Rattus norvegicus: one gene and its partners. The protein of the gene in region 4 interacts with the protein of the main gene of each other region in a pairwise test. Links are inferred from orthologs where the notes say so. Each region holds a gene or a part of one and is shown on either strand. Other genes may lie near its edges. The genes, in order: Mbd1, Mrpl44, Tsc22d1, Setdb1, Cdk4 and Tk1.

What was found.
Region 1: the proteins of Setdb1 (region 4) and Mbd1 interact in binary tests that used the Homo sapiens proteins (3 or more experiments, as listed by UniProt). The link is inferred for Rattus norvegicus from reciprocal best matches to the Homo sapiens genes SETDB1 and MBD1.
Region 2: the proteins of Setdb1 (region 4) and Mrpl44 interact in a two-hybrid assay, tested with the Homo sapiens proteins (2 studies listed by BioGRID and IntAct). The link is inferred for Rattus norvegicus from reciprocal best matches to the Homo sapiens genes SETDB1 and MRPL44.
Region 3: the proteins of Setdb1 (region 4) and Tsc22d1 interact in a two-hybrid assay, tested with the Homo sapiens proteins (2 studies listed by BioGRID and IntAct). The link is inferred for Rattus norvegicus from reciprocal best matches to the Homo sapiens genes SETDB1 and TSC22D1.
Region 5: the proteins of Setdb1 (region 4) and Cdk4 interact in a two-hybrid assay, tested with the Homo sapiens proteins (2 studies listed by BioGRID and IntAct). The link is inferred for Rattus norvegicus from reciprocal best matches to the Homo sapiens genes SETDB1 and CDK4.
Region 6: the proteins of Setdb1 (region 4) and Tk1 interact in a two-hybrid assay, tested with the Homo sapiens proteins (2 studies listed by BioGRID and IntAct). The link is inferred for Rattus norvegicus from reciprocal best matches to the Homo sapiens genes SETDB1 and TK1.

What each region holds. Positions count from the first base shown.
Region 1 is NC_086036.1:70,143,803-70,148,051, reverse strand, and holds the start of Mbd1 (methyl-CpG-binding domain protein 1), read right to left. Parts: upstream 2,801-4,249; 5' UTR 2,668-2,800; intron 1,590-2,667; 5' UTR 1,575-1,589; coding exon 1,465-1,574; intron 1-1,464. UniProt on the Homo sapiens protein: Transcriptional repressor that binds CpG islands in promoters where the DNA is methylated at position 5 of cytosine within CpG dinucleotides. Binding is abolished by the presence of 7-mG that is produced by DNA damage by methylmethanesulfonate (MMS).
Region 2 is NC_086027.1:88,553,840-88,557,849, forward strand, and holds the start of Mrpl44 (39S ribosomal protein L44, mitochondrial), read left to right. Parts: upstream 1-1,210; 5' UTR 1,211-1,228; coding exon 1,229-1,407; intron 1,408-2,898; coding exon 2,899-3,367; intron 3,368-4,010. UniProt on the Homo sapiens protein: Component of the 39S subunit of mitochondrial ribosome. May have a function in the assembly/stability of nascent mitochondrial polypeptides exiting the ribosome.
Region 3 is NC_086033.1:58,162,778-58,166,277, reverse strand, and holds part of Tsc22d1 (TSC22 domain family protein 1), read right to left. Parts: coding exon 3,318-3,500; intron 1-3,317. UniProt on the Homo sapiens protein: Transcriptional repressor. Acts on the C-type natriuretic peptide (CNP) promoter. Acts to promote CASP3-mediated apoptosis.
Region 4 is NC_086020.1:185,601,983-185,605,482, forward strand, and holds part of Setdb1 (histone-lysine N-methyltransferase SETDB1), read right to left. Parts: intron 2,177-3,500; coding exon 1,986-2,176; intron 1,795-1,985; coding exon 1,665-1,794; intron 649-1,664; coding exon 498-648; intron 393-497; coding exon 234-392; intron 1-233. UniProt on the Homo sapiens protein: Histone methyltransferase that specifically trimethylates 'Lys-9' of histone H3. H3 'Lys-9' trimethylation represents a specific tag for epigenetic transcriptional repression by recruiting HP1 (CBX1, CBX3 and/or CBX5) proteins to methylated histones.
Region 5 is NC_086025.1:64,770,157-64,774,252, reverse strand, and holds the start of Cdk4 (cyclin-dependent kinase 4), read right to left. Parts: upstream 2,801-4,096; 5' UTR 2,660-2,800; intron 2,205-2,659; 5' UTR 2,189-2,204; coding exon 1,971-2,188; intron 1,840-1,970; coding exon 1,704-1,839; intron 1,592-1,703; coding exon 1,424-1,591; intron 1,275-1,423; coding exon 1,165-1,274; intron 459-1,164; coding exon 408-458; intron 320-407; coding exon 184-319; intron 1-183.
Region 6 is NC_086028.1:103,534,778-103,538,277, forward strand, and holds part of Tk1 (thymidine kinase, cytosolic), read right to left. Parts: intron 923-3,500; coding exon 833-922; intron 558-832; coding exon 438-557; intron 360-437; coding exon 174-359; 3' UTR 1-173. UniProt on the Homo sapiens protein: Cell-cycle-regulated enzyme of importance in nucleotide metabolism. Catalyzes the first enzymatic step in the salvage pathway converting thymidine into thymidine monophosphate.

The DNA of each region.
Region 1 (4,249 bases), on a different chromosome or scaffold from region 4:
TGTGTCTTTGCTTAAAAACACTGTAACATTTGTTTCTTACGAATGACTCCAGGACTGTTAAAGAGTAAGAGCCACTGGCTTTAGAGGATGTTTTATCTAGGTTTGCCTGCTGATATTTTGTTTTTCTAAAGATACCTGCCGTACAGAACCTGTACTATAAGTACCATGTTTTTACATCATATCACCTTCTGAAACATGCAAGCCAGCCAGCATCAGCTGAGATGTTTATGTTTCTCTGGTTTTTTTTTTTTTTTTTTTTTTTTTTTTTGGTTCTTTTTTTCGGAGCTGGGGACCGAACCCAGGGCCTTGCGCTTCCTAGGCAAGCGCTCTACCACTGAGCTAAATCCCCAACCCCCGATGTTTATGTTTCTCTAGTGCCCACTGACAAGTCTTTGGCTTTCCTTAGAACAATGCAGGTCACCAGGCTTTACTGCCCATTGGTTCACCGTTTCACAAATTTTGCTGTTTACTGTTGTTCCTAATTTTGTGGTGTTTAAACAAAATCTCAGGCATTCGATTTTACCACAGAAGACTTGGGAGCCAGATGCTGGGGTGAGAGCATGACAGCTCAGAGAGGCAGAGAGAGCACCCAGCAGACCTTCCTCCTCAGCTGACAGCCCAAGCAGTCCCTACTCATGCAAAATCCCTTCCTCAAACTGAATGTCCTCCCTTCTACTGTGGATCCCTCTGTCCACCCTTCTGACTACCTCTTACTCTCCATAATTCTTTAATAATCTTATGCTCACTTCCTGTCAACTGGCTGCTTGTTCTGCCTCTTGACCTAAGGTTCAGCCACACCACAGCTAACCCCAGGTTTCCCCCCCCCCCCCAGTAAATACAACTAATCCCAGGGTTCACAGTGTGATTAAATACCCTACAACAGTATCTGCTCTTTCCAGAACAGCCTCACACACATCTGAACATGCTTCCTCTTCTCTTTCCGGATGGACCATTTCTGATTTTGAACGCTGTAACTCAACCGGATAGCATTGCAATTCATGCGTGTAAGAAGCCTATCTGGCAAGGAGAAAAGGCAGTATCCTTGCTCTCGGAGCACTAGAAAATACTTCAGCAATTGATTTGGGAATCATTTTAAACAACAAATTTGCCAACAACAAAAATATGGCTCTAAATAGACGGTGGACCAGTTTATAGAACCAGAAAGAATGAGAGAGAGAGAGAATATATAAGAGTTCTTATTCAACTTTGATTCCAAATACATGCACTAGGCAATTCAAATTCTTTAGCTATCCCATGTGTGTCTGTGAATAATCACAAATGTACTGTGAGTATCGACTTTGATCAAATAAACTTTATTAAGAATAGGTGATTAAGAAAACACAAAACTTTTAACAAGGACTATGTGCACAACTTTAACCACATCCATAGATTTAAACACACCACCCCCTTTAATTACTAACGATGTCCAACTCCACTGAACGCTGTCCACAGCCCACCCGTTACCTCCGATAATAGATGTCTGAGCGTCCACACGAGGCCCCTGACTTTCGAAAGGCCTCTCGGCGTTTCCAGCCAGGGCCCAGGGCTGGGCAGTCCTGCCAGGCCTCAGCCATAGATGCTTCAGAAGCCTGCAAGATTGGAAGAAGGTAAAGTATGGGGAAAAGTGGCCAATTATTTCCAGGCCACAAAAGCCATACGTTTCCTTTAATACTTAACCCCAGATTAGCACAAGTATGTCCTTGGTGCAGGAAATACTCCCAGTCTTTGACTTAACAGTCCCATCCCTCCTTTTTGTTCTCCTCCAAACATGCATATTACCCCTCCTCAGTCTGAGAAGACTTGTTCCTCCTACTCTGGGTAAGAGGCCCCCAATTCTTTCCTTCTCAGGATACTACACCAGTGTTCTAACCACACATTTAAACTTTCCTTCACCTGAATTTCCAATGTCTTGCAGTGCTCTAGCTGCATCTCTGTGTCTGAGTCCTGGATTCCTCCATACACTGGATCAAACATTCTTGCCATTTCTCAGGCTGGAAGCCTCTCATGTGTTCTGTTCCCCTTACGTTCAAGAGCTCTCCCCAAAGTTTATTTTTCCCTCACTTATTCCGATCCATAACTCCTCTCCAGTCTCAGTCTCAAATGACTCTATTGCTCACCCCTATGGCCAGTGTTAGCTACTCTTTCTCTTAACTGTACGTATCATTCTCCATTTCTCTTATCATCTTGTGAAACTTCCTTGTTCCTCCACAGTGACCTGCCTCTCTTATTTCTTAGCCTGTGTTCCAGGACAACGCCATAGCCTCCCAACCATCAGACATTCTACTTCCTTTTTGTTCGCCACGAGTCTCCAGTCCGTCCCTCATTATTCTAACCCTACTATTTCTACTGTCTCGAGGCCCTATCCTTGCATTATCAGCTTTGGGACCCCATTTCTATCCTGTTAACACGAAGGCCCAATGACTCTCTGAACGTTCTCTCTCTTCTTCTCCTGGCCATCCTGGTCCTATAATCTCAACATCACTGTCAATGTCCTGAGCCACATCTTTTCCTTTTCTGTCTTCTTATCCAGTCCCCCCAGTCCTCTCTTTCAATATCCGGAAGTAGCCATTCCTTCCCCTGACGTGAGGGCCCTTCGCGTCTCCCCGCTAGCGTTCGGCGCCTCCACAGACTCCTCCTGAGCTCTCGCCACTCCCACCGCTATCTCACCAGCTTGACACCAGGCTCGCAGCTTCCTCGGCTCTAGGCCGGTGGACCCATGGGAAGGATCCCGCTTGCGCGACCCGCCGGTTCTACTCTTCTTCTTCCTCCTCTTCCACCGCAGCCTCTTCCAAAACAGTAGTTGTCGCCTCTGCGGCGGTTGGTTAGTCCCGGAACCGGAAACCCAATGCTTGCCTTTGGGGCTCCGACTAGGACCAGCACCTGTGTGTGCAGCCTTGTCACGCGTGCCCTCAATGGGGAGGCTCCGCGCCTGCGTATTGCGGTTTCAGGGGCGCGCGGTTTGTCGGGAACCTGCAGCGCCTGCGCACTGACAACACCCGCAGCCCGCCGGGTCTCTCTTGACTGTGCGCCTGCGCACCGAGGATGGTGCCCAGTCAATGCAATCTTCCCTGCTGCTGGTCTCCAAAGTGGCTCCAGACACAAGGGGGCGTGAATTGCCTCGCTGGCTCGGCCCACTCTTAATTTACGTCTCCACAAAAACCACCAGCAACGAAGTTAAGCCTGTCCACTTCCTTTTCCCGGAGACACAGCTCCTTTGTTCCTGTGATTACCTTCTTCAGGACTGGTACCCACTTCGTGAATAGGATCACAGCACCCTGGCCAGGGTCCCTTCTTGGGAAACAAGGAGGAGGCGTGGTATGCAAGCAAATATAATGAGGGCGCCAAGGGAGAGATTGCCATTCCTCAGAGGCCCAATAGGAGAGAATGGTGAACTGACCAAGGTAATTTATTTTGCTTTAAGACGACTCCGTTTTGCGTGCTTCACACACCTGCTCCTCGGCACTGCTGTGTTATGTGTGTTACAGAGTTGGAGAGTTCCAGACGACTGGGAAAGATCACTCGATGAAATCCAATTAGCTGAATTTTATTAAGCTGGCCAGCTAACTGCACCCACCAGATCTAGATAAGAGACTGAAACCCAGGCTAAAAGGGAAGGGGGAGTTTTAAAGGCAAAACCACAATTGGTTCATTTATGAGGAATTTGTAGCTATGTGAGAAAATGCTTTTCTTCCACCTTGCATACAACCATAAGCATGTTTAAAGAAGTCAGAGCTAGCAGTTAATCACTGCACAGTAATTACACATTTTGGGGACATGGATAAAGAGACTTTGAGGATTCCCTGGAGTTGTTTCCAGGTTCTGCTGATAGACTGAAGCCCTGAGGTAAAGTAAAGCACACCTGAGGAAAGTGTCTTGATTTGGGCCACACTACATTCTCCACTGGTTCTGAATCATGTGGATCAAATCACTGATTCATATTCATGTTGGGCTAAATGGTACTATTTTGCCCGTAGGAACTCAGAAGTCACAAGTTTTGGTTCCTTAGGGCTAACATAAAGCTCCTAAGTCTGTTGATCCAGCCATTCCTGTCCTTGTAAGGAGAAGAATGAGAATAGCGGAGCCCACCCTCTTGTTTCTACTGACAACTCTGGCAGTCAAAAGGTGTTTTCTACCTTCAGCCCCATTGTGTGTAACACACACACACACACACACACACACACACACACAACTTTTGTTTACTATTGATAAACAATCAGGGGCCCAGAAAGGGCAATGTTATCATTTGACT
Region 2 (4,010 bases), on a different chromosome or scaffold from region 4:
CAAGTTAAATAAAGAAAGCTATTAATTAAAGCAAATCTTTAAAATTTGTGTACATTGGCTGCCTCTCAGTGAAGGTGCGGTTCAAGAGATCAGCATTAGATCTAGGGAAGATAAGAGGTTTTTTTTGTAGTCCAGAGTAGGGGGTTTCCAGATGTGGGATTTGGCAGGCAAATAGGCAGAGTTACAGACACAAAACACAAGCACAAGAAGTTGGTTGTAATAACCTCCTGAAACAAAGATGTGGTTGCAAAGTGGTCATAACAACATGTGGTCACGATAACCTTTTGAAACAAATGCATGGTTGCTATTCCTGGAACAGGCAGTACAGAACCATCTGTAGCTAAGGTGACTGGTGGGGTATAGCCTAGTCTTTGAGAAACAGAGATTTAATCATAAACAGGTACAAATGTAGTTTGTCTTTATTGTAAGATGGCTTTCAAGTCAAAGATGAGACAGGCTGGTTCATCAGTTACATCAACCAGCTTCAGATTAATTCTACCAATAAATGTTATGTTGCAGAAATGAAAATTCCCTGTGGTTTCTTGGAATCCATTTATCTGATGGTCCACGAATTTTCAATGCTTTTAATATCATTTTGATTTGTTTTAGAAAATTTGCTTCAACCAGATATCTGTTAGAAGCTCGTTTATAGCCATTCAGATTCTCCATTTTGAAAAAGCTCAAACGAGGGTGCACAATCCTAGCATAAACACCCTAACTGGGCAGTAACATGTCTTGGTCAGTATTTCAAAGCAGGTGAAAATACATTTCCTGGGCAGGAAGACAGATACTAGTCTTGTTTGGAAACCAATTACAATAACCAAAGAGAGGAAGGAAATAAATTAAAAAATAATTTAGTAACCAGAACAAGCTGTGAAAGTAGGCACACCTAAAGACCCTGGAGTCTAAACTGGGTGACCGCAGGGACATTGTTGCCTTTTTTATTAAAACGAAAACGAAACTAGTTTTTGTTTTTGCTTTAATGAGAAATAAACACAAGAGAGACTGACAGGGTCAAGCAACTGTCTCCCAATAATTTCTGCACCCATATTTATAGAATGGGCAGAAAGAAGCACTTGCGCATGCGCACTATGCTAGTCACGCACTTTCTTGGGTGTCCTGCAGCACTGAGGCCTCTTTCTGTTGCTGCACCAGTTTCCGGGCAACCGCGTTCCCACTACACCGGTCCGGCTGTCTTCCTTCCGCTCTCCATTGCCCTGTTCTTGCCATGGCTTCTGCTGTATTCCGGCTGCTGCAGCAGGGCCCTCGCCGCCTCTTGGCTCCGGCCGCCCCTACGTTGGTTCCTCCAGTTCGGGGAGTGAAGAAGGGATTCCGTGCCGCCTTCCGCTTCCAGAAGGAGCTGGAGCGATGGCGCCTGCTACGCAGCCCGCCACCGCCGGTGCGACGGTAGGCGTCTCGGGAGGGTCGAATGGTTGAGGACACTGGGCTGCAGCTGCCTGCCTGCAACTGCGGTGGGGACGTGTCCGCCACCGGCCTGGGGCAGAGGAACTGGGCGACAGAGGCCGGGCTGCCCCCTGCAGAATCTCACTAGCCGAAAATAAGTGGGATCCGACAGAGGGTAACTGCTTGTAATTGGAATTGGCCCAATTTTGTCCCTTCCTAATCTCAGGCCAATTGGGTACCTTTAAGAGAAATAGGATCGTTCATTCTACAGCGTTGCGTACCAGGGCAGAAAAATTTAGTTCTATGTAAACTGAATTTCGTGTCCACTGCCTGGAGTAAGAGGGTAAAAGTTTAGGTTTTTGATCTAATTAATCTTGTTGCCTGAGGGCTGGGGGAGGACGAATGAAAACAACCAACAAAAAACTCCACACGTTTTTATTAAGTGCATCATGCTCATATATGATCCTGCATCTTGCATATTCTGTTTACTCTGTCTTTGTGGACAAAAGTACACGAAGGTCGACTTCATTCTTACAGTTGCACTGGCATTTGACTTTCGTTAGATTGTTAGTACACATGTGAAGCAGAAACTGTCTCTAGCTAGTTATTCCTGAGCTGAAATTTTGATTGCCTTAATATTGCCCTCCAGGAGAGTATTGACCTCTGTTCACACTAACACCAGTGAGAACACACCTTCTATTACAAAGAATTGTGGCTTAATAAGCAAAACTCAGAATCATGTCTTAATTTTCATTCCCTTGCCCAGTAGACAGGTGGGTATTTTAAGATTCATGAATTAAAATTGGGAAAAACTGTAGAAAACAAATTTAGATTTTCAACTTAGATCTCTCTACGTTTCTTCTCTCTCTTTAAAGAGTTTTGTTTTGGCTATATTTTTCTCTAGGAAAAGATGTTTTAATTCTTGTCTGTGTGTGACTGTGTAGTGTACCTGCACACACCAGGCCTTTGTGTCTGCTAGATAGGCACTCTACCGCTGAATTACAACAGCCTCAACTCTCACCCATGGTTATGAACTTTTAAAACACTTAGAATACTGATACTAGCTTATGTAACTGGAAATTCAAGTGGACATTTCTGAGATTTAAATAAATAGGATATAAGCTAAATAGAATTACTTTTAGTTTGTGGCCTGAATCTATATAGTTATAATTTGTTCATACTCAGGTGGAAAGCATTATTTCACAGTTAGAGCAGAAGGAAGGAACTTAAAAGCTAGAAGAGCAGCCTAATCTGATGTGAACAGTCTCTTTAATATGGCAATGAAGCCAAAATGAAAAAATTAATCCACATTTATGGAGACTGATAAAGGACTGTCAGCGTTCACCTGTATTCTTTTTTTGTATCTAAACTGTCAAAACCCGACAATAAAAGAAAAATAAAATGATTGCGTTCCTCTGTGTAATAGTTACAGCACAGTTGTACGTGGTACCATGCCCTTCTCCTTACCATCTCTTACTGTTTCTACCTCCTCAGCTCAGAGAAGCCAAACTGGGATTACCATGCGGAGATACAAGCCTTTGGGTCCCGGTTACAAGAGGCCTTTTCGTTGGACCTTCTCAAAACAGCATTTGTCAATAGCTGCTACATCAAAAGTGAAGAGGCGAAACGTCAGAACCTCGGCATAGAGAAAGAAGCCGCTCTTCTGAATCTTAAGGACAATCAAGAACTGTTTGAGCAAGGGCTGTCTTTTTCACATCGGTGCCTCACACAGTTTCTTGAAGACGAGTTTCCAAACTTGCCCACCGAAGGCATTGAGAGTCTAGTTAACTTTCTTACTGGTGAGGCAGTTGTCTGTCACGTGGCCAGTAACTTGGCTGTGGAGCAGTTGACGCTCAGTGCGGAGTTTCCTGTCCCCCAGCCTGTGTTACGTCGGACTTTCTTTGCAGTAATTGGAGCCCTGCTCCAGAGCAGTGGTCCTGAGAGGGCTGCACTGTTCATCAGGGTGGGTAATGGTTAATAGCACTTGTCCAGACCTGCTCGATGTAGACAGAGGGGGAAGTGTCTTTTTCTCATGCATTCCTTTGCTAGATGTTGGTAGAACAGAATGTTCCTACCTCCCAAAACTTACAAAGACTCAAAACTATTTCTTTTAAAGATTTATTTATTTTATGTATATGAATACACTGAACTGTCTTCAGGCACACCAGAAGAGGGCATCAGATCTCATTACAAATGGTTGTGAGCCACCATGTGGTTGCTGGGAATTGAACTCAGGACCTGTGGAAGAGCAGTCAGTTTTCTTAATTGCTGAGCCATCTCTCCAGCCCAGCCCAAACTTTTTATGGTAACTTTGTGGTTGTTATTTCAGTTTTCTTTTGCCAATACCCTGGAAAGCAAATAATACATGCTGGGTTGTGAGTTCTGCAGATTTAAGTTATTTTTAGCTTTTTTAAGTTTTTTGTTTTGTTTTGGTTTATTTATTTATTTATTTATTTTTTGGTTCTTTTTTTCGGAGCTGGGGACCGAACCCAGGGCCTTGCGCTTCCTAGGTAAGCGCTCTACCACTGAGCTAAATCCCCAGCCCCGTTTTGGTTTATTTTTTAAGGAGAAAATGTTTGTGTATAGTCCGACATGGAGGAAAGGCG
Region 3 (3,500 bases), on a different chromosome or scaffold from region 4:
AAGAAAACCCTGATTTCCAGGCTAGGGAGACGGCTCACTCTTTTACCTTACAAGATGGGAGGTGCTTGCTACACAGCATGTGAACCTGAGTTTGGACCCCAGAATCCATAGAAAAGCCTGCCTCAGAGGCACAGGCTTCTAATGTCAGCACTGAGGAAGTACAGACAAGGGTATCCCTGAGGCTCACTGGTAAACCAGCCCAGCCAGCACAGTGAGCTCCAATTTAATCTCAAAAAATAAATTGGACACAGTTGAGGGAGACAATTGACACTGACCTCTGACTTCATGATCACATACAGGCATGCAACCAAAAATAAACAAACAAACAAACAAACATGAAAAAGAAAACCCACTTGTTCCTGTATAATACTTGAGGGCTATGAAACAGACACTATTTACAAGGCTGACACCATGTCACCTTAAGGAGCAAGAAGATAGCAAAGTCACATTGCTCATTCAATTTATTACATAAATTATAGCACCTGCATTTCTAATGGTGTGGTTAAGATGACAAAGTGAGCTGTGCCTTCATCGGAAAAACAGAAAAAGATCTGCTAAGTTTGTTGAAAAAAAAAAAAAAAGAAAAAAATTTTTTTTTGTTCCTGCCCTTGTGGGAAAGACTGGTAAACATCATTATCACCAAATATACAGTACTTAAATAGGACAGTAAAATGTGCTGAGGAGACACCCCCTGGGGAAGAACAATCTTTCAGAGGGAACATCTGAGCTTTGCTTATAAACAAGAATTTCACATAGCACTGTGCTAACAAGTACAGAACATTAGAGCAAAATAACTGTGTCTTCCAGTTCCTGCAAACGTTAAGTCACGTTAAAGGCGAAGACATCAAGACCTTTATAATAAAATGGCCTTTAAAAAAAATGTCGCATGATCTTCCATCGTCTGCAATGTTTAGTCTCCTCTGAGTAACACAGTGGCTAAGAGGACAACCCGAAGGCACTTTCCCCATGTCTGAGCATCTAACTCTAAAGAGTAGACTATATCGCAGTATATACGCAAGGGTGATCTCTCTCTCCTGCCACCAAACAGTTTCATGTTAGCATTACTTCCTGGGTCATAAAGTGAAATGAGGGCACAGCCCTTTCTTCCAAAGGAGATCAATGGTGACAAAGCCTGCAGGATGCAGGTGACACAGACTGCGTGGAGCAAAGGCAGTGAGTGGCTCTAAGGCTGCTTCACTTTTGCCTCTCCTAGGTATTTCCCAATTATCTCCCAAGGGCAAATTTAAGTGATTTTTTTTTTAAATCAAACTACAGTGAGATTAAAAACAATCTGCAATAAAACACAATTAAAAATAGACCTGGATGGTCGGTCCTGCATGCTCCTTGGCTGGGGGACTAAGATCTTAAGAGAACTTGAAGGAGGCCTGGCAAACAATGTGTCCAGTCTTGATGACTCAACTTTGATGTGAACTGACACAGGTTTGTAATGAAGTTCAAAGACAGTCTGAGGACTGCTTCTGTTAGTTACTGCACACAACTACCTCACATGCCCCCATGCTGCTGCCCTGGAACATAACTCCACCCCACTGACTCCTGACCCACCTTCATCTCAGTCACTATGTGTCTACTGGGAAAGGGCTCTGCACTCTCACACTGGGATTCACCCTACAGATAAAAGCTAGTGCACAGTATCCTGCCTTAACTGTGGACAGGAGGTCTTCCCAAGGCCTGCCATCTCCCTGCCAACAGGAGGAAAACAATGGAAGCCCTCTTAGGAGCCCACAAACAGTAATTAAGAAAACCTCCACGGTTTGTAAGCAGTGTGCGGCTTCCATCGCTCTCTGTCACCTGTCTTTGACATCCTAGGTCAGCTTCTGTATTACACGGTTAAACAGGAGCTTCGCTTGAACTGATTTAGATTTAGGAAACCAAAAAGAGTAAATAATTTCTTAAACTAAATTACAGGTGAGGTTCAGAATGATAAAGATAAAATTAAAGGTTGAACAATAATTATAATTGGACTACTACAGAAACTACATCTTACAAGTCTCTCTTGTGAAGTACTTCTGTATGGGGGTAAGGACTACATTTAGTTAGTAACAAAATTTAAGTATATGACTACTAGAAAAAAACACTAAAAAAGTATTTTCCCCTGATTTCAAGTATCATTATCTTTTAAACAACTTGGGGGAAAATGATGAAAACGTCACTAAAACACATGGCCATTTTTTCTCTTTATAAAATTCTTTTGCAACAGTTTCAGTTTTTCCAAAGTAAACCCACGAATATACAAATAGACTATAAATGCTTCAATTGGAATGGTTGAAAACTTAATGTCAAAAATCTCCAACAGATACTAAAATAACTCTCTTAAATGTTTTTCAAAACTTCAGTGAAGAAGTCTTTTTACAACTACTATACTTCTGTTCACTATATACACTGGCAAAATTACAAAAAACTTTCCTTTAAAAAAATCTTAAAGCAATGTAGACATAGAGTTCACAGCTTCTCTGGCAATCTGATGCATTAAGTGATTAGCATATTATTTCCAATATGATTTTAAAAAAAAATGCTGGCCTAATACTGACTTTTAGACTCTGTCTTTTGGCAAGAGAAGAAACAGGTGGGACAGATTAGCCTGTATAAAATCAGCCCTTTAAGACTGAGTGCATGCTTTAAAATGGCTACCACTTTTATCTACTCTCAAAAGGAAAAAAAGTACAGCCATTACTTACTACTAAGGATAAAGTAGGCATTTTGTCCTCGAAAAACACGCGTTAAGACTTCTATTCCTCCTCTGTCCGGACAGAGTTTACAAAAGCCGGTTGCTAACAGTATGAGGACAACCTACATCACCCAGATTAGGTCATCTTTCCCACAGTGCCTTAGGAGGACAAGCAGGTAACAGTATCTTTCAAAGCCTGAGATCAAACTTCCTAGGAAACAAGAAATGTGGGAGCCACAGCGCCTAACAAGAAATGATCATTAAGATTTTAGTAGCTCAAAAGAATAGCTTTAACTATTTCGTGGGATAACCAAATCTAAGCTGCTTTGCATAATCTTCTCAAAAGCACTTTATAAATAATAAAATCTACCTGGTAGCCCCGTCTATTTGTAATATACACTTACACTTTTATAACTATCGTGAACATTATGTTCATAACCTAGTCTGCCTCCCAACCACTCTGAAACCATTCTGTAAGATTCTTACCCTGGAAAACTTACCATGAATATGCACTTCTCACATGCAAATGGAAAGGCATATATATACATATGGACTAAGTGCACCCACACGTACTGCTGCTAAAGAGATCAACTTTGAACTGCCCGATGCCTGCAGAAGCACATGATCTTACCTCTCGTCCTCGCCATCCACCAGGGGTGTTGTCAGCGGTAGCACCTTCAACGGGAAGAGAGAAGCAGAGGCTGCTAGGCTGCTGCTACTCCCATCTGAGACTGCTGACACTCCCCCACTGTCACCACTGAGAGTCTGAGGTAAGCCGCCTGAGGAGGGCTCCGCTGGACGCCTGGTGTCTTCC
Region 4 (3,500 bases):
GTCAAGGAGAAGACCTGATGGTCTTTCTGCTGAAGCAATGATGTTACAATGTTCAAGAAGTTTTGGCAAATGACTTTCTGGTGATAGTGTGTTTCTTAGACATGAAATTTCTAATTAACTATTCTTATTACCAGCTTCTCAGAAGCTGCATTTTCAAGACCATGTTTCTCACTGACATGACTTTAAAGGCTCTTGGAGTCCATCCAACTGCCCAGTGTCTGAGGTATTCTTACCTGTATGTCTGGTTCATTCCAATTTTCCCAGGGGGTACATTTTCACTGAGTGTGGGCGAAGTAGGGGAGGAATGGCCAGAACTCACAGATCCTGGTCGGAATGATGTGCTCTTTTTGGCTACTTGCTTCCGTGATTGAGCAAGCTGGCTTTCTAAGCTTCTAAGGGGATTGAGAAGAGACCATATAGTAAGGATTCCGAAGGTATGTGTGGTAAAAAACAAACAAACAGAATACCTGGAAGTAAAAAGATTGACGAGCACTTACTCACTGTCGCCTGCCTGGGGGGAAAGAGGAAGCATGGGAAGCGGGGCAGGTGGGACTATAGGCTGCAGGGGCTCCATGGGCTTAAACTGGATTCCAGTACTCGTTAGATCCTGAGTGTACTGAACAACAGGACCTTTGCTCCTCACAGCACCTACAGGAAAAACCAACAAAAACTGACTGTTGAGAGGATGACAGCTGTGCCAGATACTCTTATGCACAAACCCTATCAACTAATGTAATATATTCACGTAGGAAATGGCCAGGCAGAGGTGGTGCACACCAGTAGTCCCAGGAATGTAGAAGTAGATAGACTTCTGTGAGTTCAAGGCCAGCCTAGACTACAGAGTGAGTTCCAGGTTAGCCAGAGCTACAGAGAAACCCTGTCTCAGAAAAACAACAAAAAGAAAACCCAACACAAATGAGAACAAGAAGAATGCAGCAAATAGAATATAAAGATGGCTCAGTGACACAAACACAAGGACGTGAATTCAAACCTATGTAAAGCCAGGCATGGCAGCATGTGTCTGTAATCCCAGTGCTGCTGCAGGGAAGTAGGGGGTGGAGAACAGAGAATCCCCCATGCAGGGCAGTTAGCCTTACACATGTAGCAATGAACAACACAACTTGGATCAAACAAGGAAGATTAATTCTAAAGCTGGATGGTCCTCTGATTACACAAGCACTTTGATATGAGTATGCTTGTATTCTCATACAAAAGTGGTAAATGACACATTTTTCTAAGTGTTAACCTCTTTTGTTCTTACTATTTATACCAGTAAGAGGGTATACTAGTAAACACTGGTTTTGGAAAGACTTGTTTTTTTGGGGCATGGTCACATGTAATCATGACTGGCCTCAAACTCACTGAGTAGCCAAGGACGGTCTTAAATTGCAGATGTTCCCACTTCTGTCTTCCAAGTGCTGGAACTGATTACATGTGTGCACCAACATGTCTGGCTATATGTGGATATTTAGAATAAATAAAAATCATAGCAATGTGGAGGCAGGTCCACAAAGCCACCAACACTAATGGAAATATTTTAAACACGTCTTTATCCAGTGAGTTGGTGGTGTTGCTGTGGTAAACAAAAGGGCAGCTGCCATACATTAACTTTCTGTGCTAGTCTGCCCTGTCTTTTCCCTCCCCGGGTGTCTTTTACGGCATACCCATATTAGGACGGGTTCTGAGTTGCCCCCCTTGCTTCTTCTCCATTGCAGAGGCTGAGGATGTCTTCATACTGAACATAGGTTCCAGGCGTGTAGAGCCTCGATAGATCCACTCACATCTTTTGTCATCCTGGGAGGCAGGGCAAAGGGAGGGAGAAAAGCAGTTCATGGTTAGACTCAATCCTGTCTCTTGTGGAGAATATATACCATGTGTCACCTCTTATCATCAGGCTCGACAGCAAGTGTCTTTACTCAATTTACCATTTCCCTGGCACCTGGCTCCCTAAGACTACCACAAATTGTTCTTTGGAAGAACATTACCAGAAAGAGGATCCTGACTAGGCTGCCATCAACCTCTTCAACTCGAGACTTCCACCATGTGCCTTCCCACTCAGTCTTAATAAGCTGGCCACTCTTGAGAAGTACCATTGGGCGGTTTGGATAGGCAGTGATATATTCTTCTATGAAGTCTCGGCAGGAGCTGTCTTCTATGTCCTCCCAAGTCTTTTTCACTGTCCAAAGGAAAGAAGCAGAGCTAAGTATAGGAAGGACATATCTTTAAAGGAAAGAACAGCTGGCACTTCCAAAAATCAACAGAAAAAAATCCCTCAAGAGAAGAAAACCAAGACTATCTTACGTACAGAGGCTAATGTGCAAATGCATATACAAGTTAAATACTAAACTAAGCCACATGCAAACCGAAGCAATTCCTGTGAAAGAAACAGACACTTCACTTTATGCAGAATCTTAATAACCCCTAGATATAGTAAACTAATATGAAACAATCAGTCCTTCCCTCTTCTTTGTTTCTTCATCTTTCCTTCTTTTTGTTTTTTTTTTTTTGAGACAGTTTTCCTGTGCAGCCTTGGCTGTCCTGGAACTTGCTTTGGAGACCAAGCTAGCCTCCGGAGATCCCCCGCCATTGTCTACCCAATGCTGGGATCAGAGGTGTGCACCACCACTGCCTGGCTTACTCCTTTTTCTTATCAATGCTGGTGATCCACAAGCAAAGTAAGAGCTGTCCACCACTGAGCGACAACACAGCCTATTGTTTCTTTTTTCATCCCCCCCAAACTTTTATTTCTTTCAAAGATTTTTTTTTAAATTTTAGGTACTTTGCCTGCATACTTCTGTATATCATGTATGTGCAGCCCTCCAAAAGAAGTGAGAAGAGTACATTGGGTACCCTGGAAGTGGAGTTACTGAAAGTTATGAACTGCTAAATACAAGGGCTGGGAACTGAGCTTGGGTCTTCTGCAAGAGCATCGAGTGCTTTTAACTGCTGAAACATCCTCCAGCCTAACTCAGACACCTCGCCCTGACATAGGCTGGGTGCCATGGCACACATTTGCAACTTTAGCATTGTAGGGGGAAGGTGGATTCAAAAAGAATGATGGCCCACCCACCAGTGAGCAAGCCAGCCTAGCCAAGCCGACTGGTCAGAGCTTCAGTGCAAGACCCTGTCTAAAGACATTAGGAGAAATATAAGGTAAGAAGACACCCAACATTAACTTCTAGCTTTTACACATACACATACACACACACACACACACACACACACACACACACACACACACACACACACACACACACGAATGGTGTCATGTACCAATATTCTCAGCACATAGACAGAGGAAGAAGACTAGACATTCAAGAACAGGGTGGAAGGGCTAGAGAGATAGCTCAGAGGTTAAGAGCACTGACTGGTCTTCCAGAAGTCCTGAGTTCAATTCCCAGCAACCACATGGTGGTTCATAACCATCTGTAATGGGATCTGATGTCCCCTTCTGGTGTGTCTGAAGATAGCTATAGTTTGCTCATATATAATAAATAAGT
Region 5 (4,096 bases), on a different chromosome or scaffold from region 4:
TTACCAGGGGATCTGTCCATCTCGCCACAAGAATGGCACTACAGAAGCACCTGACTTCTACGTGGATTCTGGGGATTTGAACTCAGGTCCTCAGTACTTATGCAAAGGAGCTCTACCCACTGAGCCAGCTTCCCAGGCCATGCCGTGTCTTGTCTTAACCCAATCCCTGCTCAGGCCCAGTACCAGCAGCAACTGCGCTCCAGATTCCTCCATCTCCGGCACCACTGACTGCACTGGCCGAGGTCCTCTGGGGGAAAAGGCTCCTCGAGGAAGAGAGACCTCTCGAGGCCAGTCGTCTTCTGGAGGCAATCCAATGAGACTGTAGGGACAGGACAACTGTCAGGAGGGGCCCCTTCCCAGCCAGTTGCTATGGAATGTTCCTTTCCTTTTCCTTAGTGGATACTTACTCAAAGATTTTGCCCAGCTGGTCAGCCTCAGAGTTCCCACAGAAGAGAGGCCTAAGGTAGAAAGATAGTCAAAGTACATTCTTTTAAAAACCGGAGTAACCGTTAAGTGGACCAAACTAGAGTGTGGAGCTAAGGAACAGGAAGTTACTAAATCCAGGGCATTTCAGATTTGCCCATGTGGTTTCTTTTCTAGGCAAGGTGATTGGTATGAACTGGGTAGGCTGGGACTATGGCTGGATGGCAGGGGACCATGCCTATGGAAACCCCAGGTTGGGTATCCTGCACTGTACATGCACAAGAATGGTCAAGAACAGATAAGTCTGTAAAAGACCTGGGGCAGAGTGTTTAGTTTAGTGGTACAGAGGCATGGCTGAGGGGTTGGGGATTTAGCTCAGTGGTAGAGCGCTTGCCTAGCAAGCGCAAGGCCCTGGGTTCAGTCCCCAGCTCTGAAAAAAAAAAAAAAAAAAAAAAAGAAAAGAAAAAGAAAAAGAAAAAGAAATAGAGGCATGGCTGAGTGTACGTGAGTCCTGATTCCAACCTCTAGCACCGTGAGAGAGCAGCAAAAGATCTGTGGAACTGAAGGTGGCTTAAGAGTTTCAAGTCCCAGCCAGGCAGTGGTGGTACATGCCTTTAATTCCTGCACTCTGGAGGCAGAGGCAAGAGTTCAAGGCCTGCCTGATCTCGTTTCTGTGTAGCCAGCGCTACACAGAAAAACCCTGTCCCATGGCAAACAAAACAAATGTTTCTAGTCCCATACTTCCGGCGAAACATCTCTGCGAAGATACAGCCAACACTCCACATATCCACAGGCGTTGCATATGTAGACTGCAGAAGAACTTCAGGAGCCCGGTACCAGAGCGTAACAACCTAAAGAGAATAGGAGAAATAAGTGAGTGTTGTCCTCGTAAACAACTGTTTGGCTCTGAAAACTTCAAGTACAAGACTCCTTAGTCGCTTTGGGAAACCACCAAGCCCTACCCCGAATCCCAACCTATTCCGGCTACTGTCTTACTGACCACAGGCGTGAGGGCCATCTGGTAGCTGTAGATTCTGGCTAGGCCAAAGTCGGCCAGCTTAACTGTCCCATTACTTGTCACTAGAATGTTCTCTGGCTTCAGGTCCCGGTGAACAATGCAGTTTGCATGAAGGAAATCTAGGCCGCTTAGAAACTGGCGCATCAGATCCTGGTTTTGAAGAAAGAAGCAGAGAACTGTGGAAACTATGTATCACTGTGTCCAAAATCCCAACAAGTTCTACTGCACATATCAATCCACCTCCACCCACCCCTCCACTCACCTTAATGGTCTCAACAGGCAAGCCCGGCGGAGGTGCTTTGTCCAGGTATGTCCGTAGGTCCTGGTCTATATGCTCAAACACTAAGGTGACCTTGATGTCCCGATCAGTTCGGGAAGTAGCACAGACATCCATCAGCCTGAGAAGAACAAATGGTCAGGAGCTGGCCATCCCCTTTGTTTCAACATGGCCTCTGGCGTTCTAGGGTCCCACTCCTGACTAACGGGTCCTATTGTCCTCTCCGCCCCACTCCCAATCCAACCTTCTCACCGTACAACATTGGGATGTTCAAAGGCCTCCAGCCTTCTTAACAAGGCCACCTCACGAACTGTGCTGACGGGAAGGCCCCCTCCAGCTGCTCCTCCATTAGGAACTCTCACACTCTTGAGAGCCACAAAGTGGCCACTGTGGGGATCTCGGGCTTTGTACACCGTCCCATAGGCACCGACACCAATTTCAGCCACGGGTTCATATCGAGTGGTAGCCATTCTCGGAGCAGGGGATCTACAATCACAGAGGCTTCTAATACCAAGCTCTCTCTCACAGTTAGGAGGAGATGACCCGGCAGTAACAAAGAAACTCCTGCACAAGACCTCACCAACATTATCACCAGCATCCCACCCTCCACACATCCAGGGCCCGCGCTCCTTAGGTAACACAAAGACTTCCAACAAACCCTCTTCCAGCCACGTTTTGTCCTGGAGGAAGAAAAGAATGCTTTCTTTTCTTTCGGAGGACCATTGCGCCCGGCACAAAGAAGATCACAGTGCACAGGGCTTGCATGGAACAGTCTGCGCTTCACTCTCTGAAATCACACCCTCGCCCACGACCACAAAGGCCCCACTTCCCGCCATTGGGCCACCTTCCATACTCAGCCAGCGACGCGCACGCGTGGGGAGCTGGAGGGTGCTAGTGCTCGTGGGGACTGGCCCCCCGCTTCTGGAAAGGGTTGCACTCACCTTACGCTCGGCCAAGAGCTGCGGAGGTGGCCCTTTATCTGGGCCCGGGAGCCGTTTCCTGCGGCGCCATACACCGGGGATCGGTCCCGGGCAGCTGGACGCTTCGGGCCAGACCATAGACACAGGCCGCGAGCTAGAGAGGCCCCCTCACCCCCACCCTCACCATGTGACCAGCTGCCAGAGAGGCGCGCGGAAACCCGGGAGGCGGGGCCGACGGCGGACGTTCTGGACACGTGACCTCCACCCATGCGCACTCGGCGACCGGGGCCCCTTTGATGGGAGGGGTGTGGTGGGGGAAGAGGGCGGGACCTGTACTGCCACGTGACCTGTTGCTATCCCACGTGACCCCTTTACTTTGCGCTGAGAAGCGGAGGTGTGGTTACGCTGTGTGGCACGTGACCGGCTGCCAAACCCTGACTGCGGAGGGGGTGTGTGGGGGCGAGAGAGGGTGGGGCACAAGGCGGTGCCATGGCAACCGGGCCAACCAGCTCTCAACGCTCAGCTCAAGGCCGAGCCTGAGAGCATCTTCAGTCTCACTACGCGTCTCTATGTGGGCGGGAGGTCGAGGTGCTAGTGGGAGATCCTGGTGCCAGAGATGGTGCTGTAACATTTCCACTCCACCGCCATGGGGAAACATTCGTATTTGTGTCTTCATTTTACTCATTCATTCAACAAAATTTTACTAAGTGCTTCCTTCCAGTTGGTATGCGATGTTTTTGTTTTGGTGTCTCAGTCACTCCGCCCTTTGAAGTGATGATAAAGATAGCTAATAAGGCAACCGTGGTCTTATAAAAACAGGGAGTAGACAATTTCTATCCGAGGAGGAAACTAAAAGATGGATAGAAGAAGATTAACATAGTAAGCCGCTGTATGGGGGGCGACAATGTAATGCCCTCCTTCTTCCCAACTTGTAAACCTCCCCAGGAATATTAAAAGCAGCAAGAAGTTATTGGAAATAAGGGTTCTTGATCTTACAAGTGTCTTTACACTAAGATTGCTATATATATATGTGATTGCATGAACAGACAACAGGGTGAGCACATCCAAGGGCAGTCACCACCACATTGCTGGAATATGACTTGTGTCCCTCTGCAAACCTGTGACTCCTCATAGGGGTCACATTCCTTTTTTTCCCCAGTCCTGCTTAGAACGTACCCTTGCCCTGATCAGCGTTTCCTAAATGGTCTGCCTACAGAAATCTAGTCAGATAGAGGTAGATCTGTGTGACGATTTGGTTGGCTCCAACTCCTTTATTGTCTCCCATCAATTAGGAGCATGAGGATAAAAGACCATGTTCCCAACTGTGAAGAATTGCTAAAATCTAGACCTATTTTTGGTGCCGAGGATTGGAGTCAGTGTTTTTATATGTAGTAAGAATTGGTTCAGTCACTGAGCTATATTCCTGAACTTTAAACTCTCAAATCATATTTGAGACAC
Region 6 (3,500 bases), on a different chromosome or scaffold from region 4:
AAGAGAGAAGCGTTGGGTTGGGGGCTCACAACCATTATAAGAAGGGAACTAAGAAAGGTTTCAACAAGCAGATAAGCCAAGGTGCAATGTCCAGTAGGAATGGCAGGCCCCGCCCCTTTCCCTGCTCTCTGGGAGTCCAACCTGGGGAAGGAGCTGGCAGGCCCCGGGTCCCCTCAGTTGGCAGAGTTACACTGTAGGATTTGCTGAGGGGCAAAGAGCTTCCTGACAGCCGGGATCTCTATAGGCTGCCCCAGCACTGAGTAGTTCTCTTTGTTGTCTGCAGTCTGGGCTGAAGACTTCTTAAAGTAGCACAGGCGGCAAACAGAGTGGTACTTGTCCGCTCCGCCAATCACCTCCACCTGGTAGGAGAGGCGTATGAGGGAGGACTCAGAAGCCTAAGCCCACCCCACTCCGTGGGCAGAAGCACAAGGAGATACCTCTTTCTCCAGGCCCAGCCTCTTGGTGTAGGAAGCTTCTCGAAAGCACTCCATGCACACAGCGGTGAGCTTCACCACACTCTCGGCCAAGGGCACCAGGTTCAAGATGCTGCCGAAAGCCTACACAGGACAGCAAAAGTGTTAGCCAGGCACTTCCCTCCCTGCCTGTGTTCACGTGTATGCGTGTGGAGGGAGTTCTGCGGAACTGACGCAAGCCTGTGTGCAAGGCAAGTGTGTTACAGCCTGGGCTGCCCCCAGCCCAACGCTTCTCTTTTAAACCCCATGATTCAGCAACATCATACTTTACTGGTCCTGCTTCACTAGAGAGCTGCATGGGGAGACCTTGCATGCTGTCTCCCCTCTCAAGACCGCTGCCATGGGTCAGACATCTTTACCTTCCTCTGGAAGGTTCCGTCCAGCGCCGCCACAATCACTGTCTTGCCTGTATTGGCCATCGTTTCACAGAAATCCACAATGTCAGGGAACTAGGAAAGTTCAGAGAGGATGAAGTGAGCCGTCCTGAGCAAGGGCCTCATGAAGACGGTGAGGGATCCGAGCACACAGGTAAGCCCAGAGCCGGAGATCAGACCGCACTGCCACTCCTGTGAAACATCCCACCTGCATGCCCACTGCTACCCAGGGCTGGCCCACAGAGGCCTCTACATACCAGAGAGGCTGGAACAGCAGTTCTCAACTAGTGGGTCGAGACCCCCCTGGGGTTGAACAGCTTAAACAGTGTGCATGAAGCCCTTGGCTCCACCCCCATCCCCTACCCCCACATCAAATGAGCCAGACAAGGTGTCCAACACAATACCACTACTTTAAAGGTAGAAGGATTAGGAAGTTAAAATAAACCAGGGCTGGAGAGATGGTTCAGGGGTTACAAGCATGGCTTGTTCTTATAGATAACTAGAATTCAATTCCCAGCACCCACAACAGATAGCTTACAAACCATCTGTAACTCCAGATGCAAGGACAGCTAATGTCCTCTTTTGGCATCTGCAGGCACCCACCCTCACATGCACACATGCACTTTTAGCCCCCATGGACAGCTGGAGGGAGGAAGGGAGGGAAGGAGGAGGGGGACTCTTGGTAATGAGATGTACAAGGCGTACGTAAGTAGGTTGGCAGGGATAGCTGCCCTCCGCCTTCCACTGTCTCTCAGGCCAGCCTCCCCCTTCACAGCACGGGTGTAGACCAGGTTAGCCTTGAACTCAGGAGATCTACTTGCCTCTGCCCCTGAAGTTCTAAGATTAAAGGCCTATGCTATGAGCCTGGCGCTTCCATTTCGTTTGAGCTGGGTCTCTTCCTGAATCTGGAGCACAGCTACTGGGCTGGGCTGCCTAGTCAGGGAGCTCCAGGGGCCTGCCTGTCTCTGCCTTCCTCACACTGGGATTATGGACATGTGGCTATACCCAGTGTTGTACACGGGTGCTAGGGACCCAAACTCAGGCACTCATGCCTGCAGAGCCAGGGCCTCCCTCACTGACAGAACTGTCTCCCCATCCCTTCTGTCTCTCACTTTTGATTGGTTACTGCTGTGCAACCCAGGCTGGCCTGGGTTGCAAAGCAATCTCCTGCCTGCCTGGTTCTTGGACCTTTTCTTGAACATATCTCTGCCCTACACCTTAACGTTCTAACCTTTCTCTTCTTCCACGGTCCCTCCCAGTTTTAGTCTTTCAACGGAGGTGAGGTGGAAGCTCCAGATTTATCTCCAGACCTAGAATGCCGCAGCCAAAGGGCAGAAACTTGGAATGGATGCGATTGGTCCCTGGACTCAGCCATTCCCACAATAGTCACAGCATGTGACATGGCTTGCTCTATAAAAACACACGTGTATAATTAGAAGCGTCCAGGCTGGACTGGCATTCATCAGAGTCCTGGCACTGGCTGAACATAATCTCTTGGGTCAACACCAGGCAAGGCAGGCACCCTGGCCGCATGAATAAAGACCCTTCCTCAGTCTCACGTGACCACTGACAAAGCAGGTGCAGTCTATGCCAGAAGCAATCAAACAAGCACCACCCTTCCGCCAAAAGGAGCTCGGTCCCCTCCCGGAGGGCCACTGTTCCACGACTAGTGTTTGCCCCGTGGCAGGCTTTAGAACCCACAATATTGGCTCGCAGGGCATTCCTGGTAGTTTCTGGTTCAAAGACACTTAAGTGGCAAGCCTCCTTTGTCTGGTGTGCTCCTGCTGTGCCCTACATTGAGCCTGTCATTACTGCGTCAAAAAGAAGGGAAACAAAGTTCTTAACGATGCAAGCTTCTAATCTTGCCCAGAAGCTGTGGGCCCTGCTTCTGGTGAATGAACACACGGGAAGCTCTATGTCCTCAGCTCTGGCTCCAGGGACCCTACAGGACCCTCTACCCACTGTCTGAGGACACAGGAAGGAAGGGCAATCTCCTTGTGTTACCACGAGGAGATCCTGAACTTAGTAAGGAACAGGGTCTAGAGTCTGGGGCGGAAGCACACAAGAATTGTGTTGTTTATACAGTGCACACTGAATACTCACTGTAGCCTGTGCGAGGGCCCATGACTACACAATACCAGCACTCAGGGGCCCGAGTTCTAATCTAGCCTGGACCACAAAGCAAGACCCCACCCCAAAACTCCAAGTAGCCACTAAATGAACTCGTTTTCCTTAATCATAAGGTGGGGTGGGGGTGGGGCGCATAGAAATAAATCTCTCCTATAGGTTAGGATGGGGAAGAGGGTTGGGGCGACTGGTAGGCTGGTGCCAGACCTGGGTATGAGTCTATCAAGCAGGAAGAGCTAAGAAAAGAAGGTAGTGGGCTGGAGAGATGGCTCAGCGGCTAAAAGCACTGACTGCCCTTCCAGAGGTCCTGAGTTCAATTCCCAGCAACCACGTGGTGGCTTACAACCATCTGTAACGGGATCTGATGCCCTCTTCTGGTGTGCATGAAGACAGCTATAGTGAATAAATAAACAAATCTTTAAAAAAAAAAAAAGAAAGAAAGAAAGAAAGAAAGAAAAGAAAAGAAGGTAGTGCCTAGGGAGTGCGGCTGGGCCTCTGGGAATACCAGGAGAGCACAGAGTAAGCA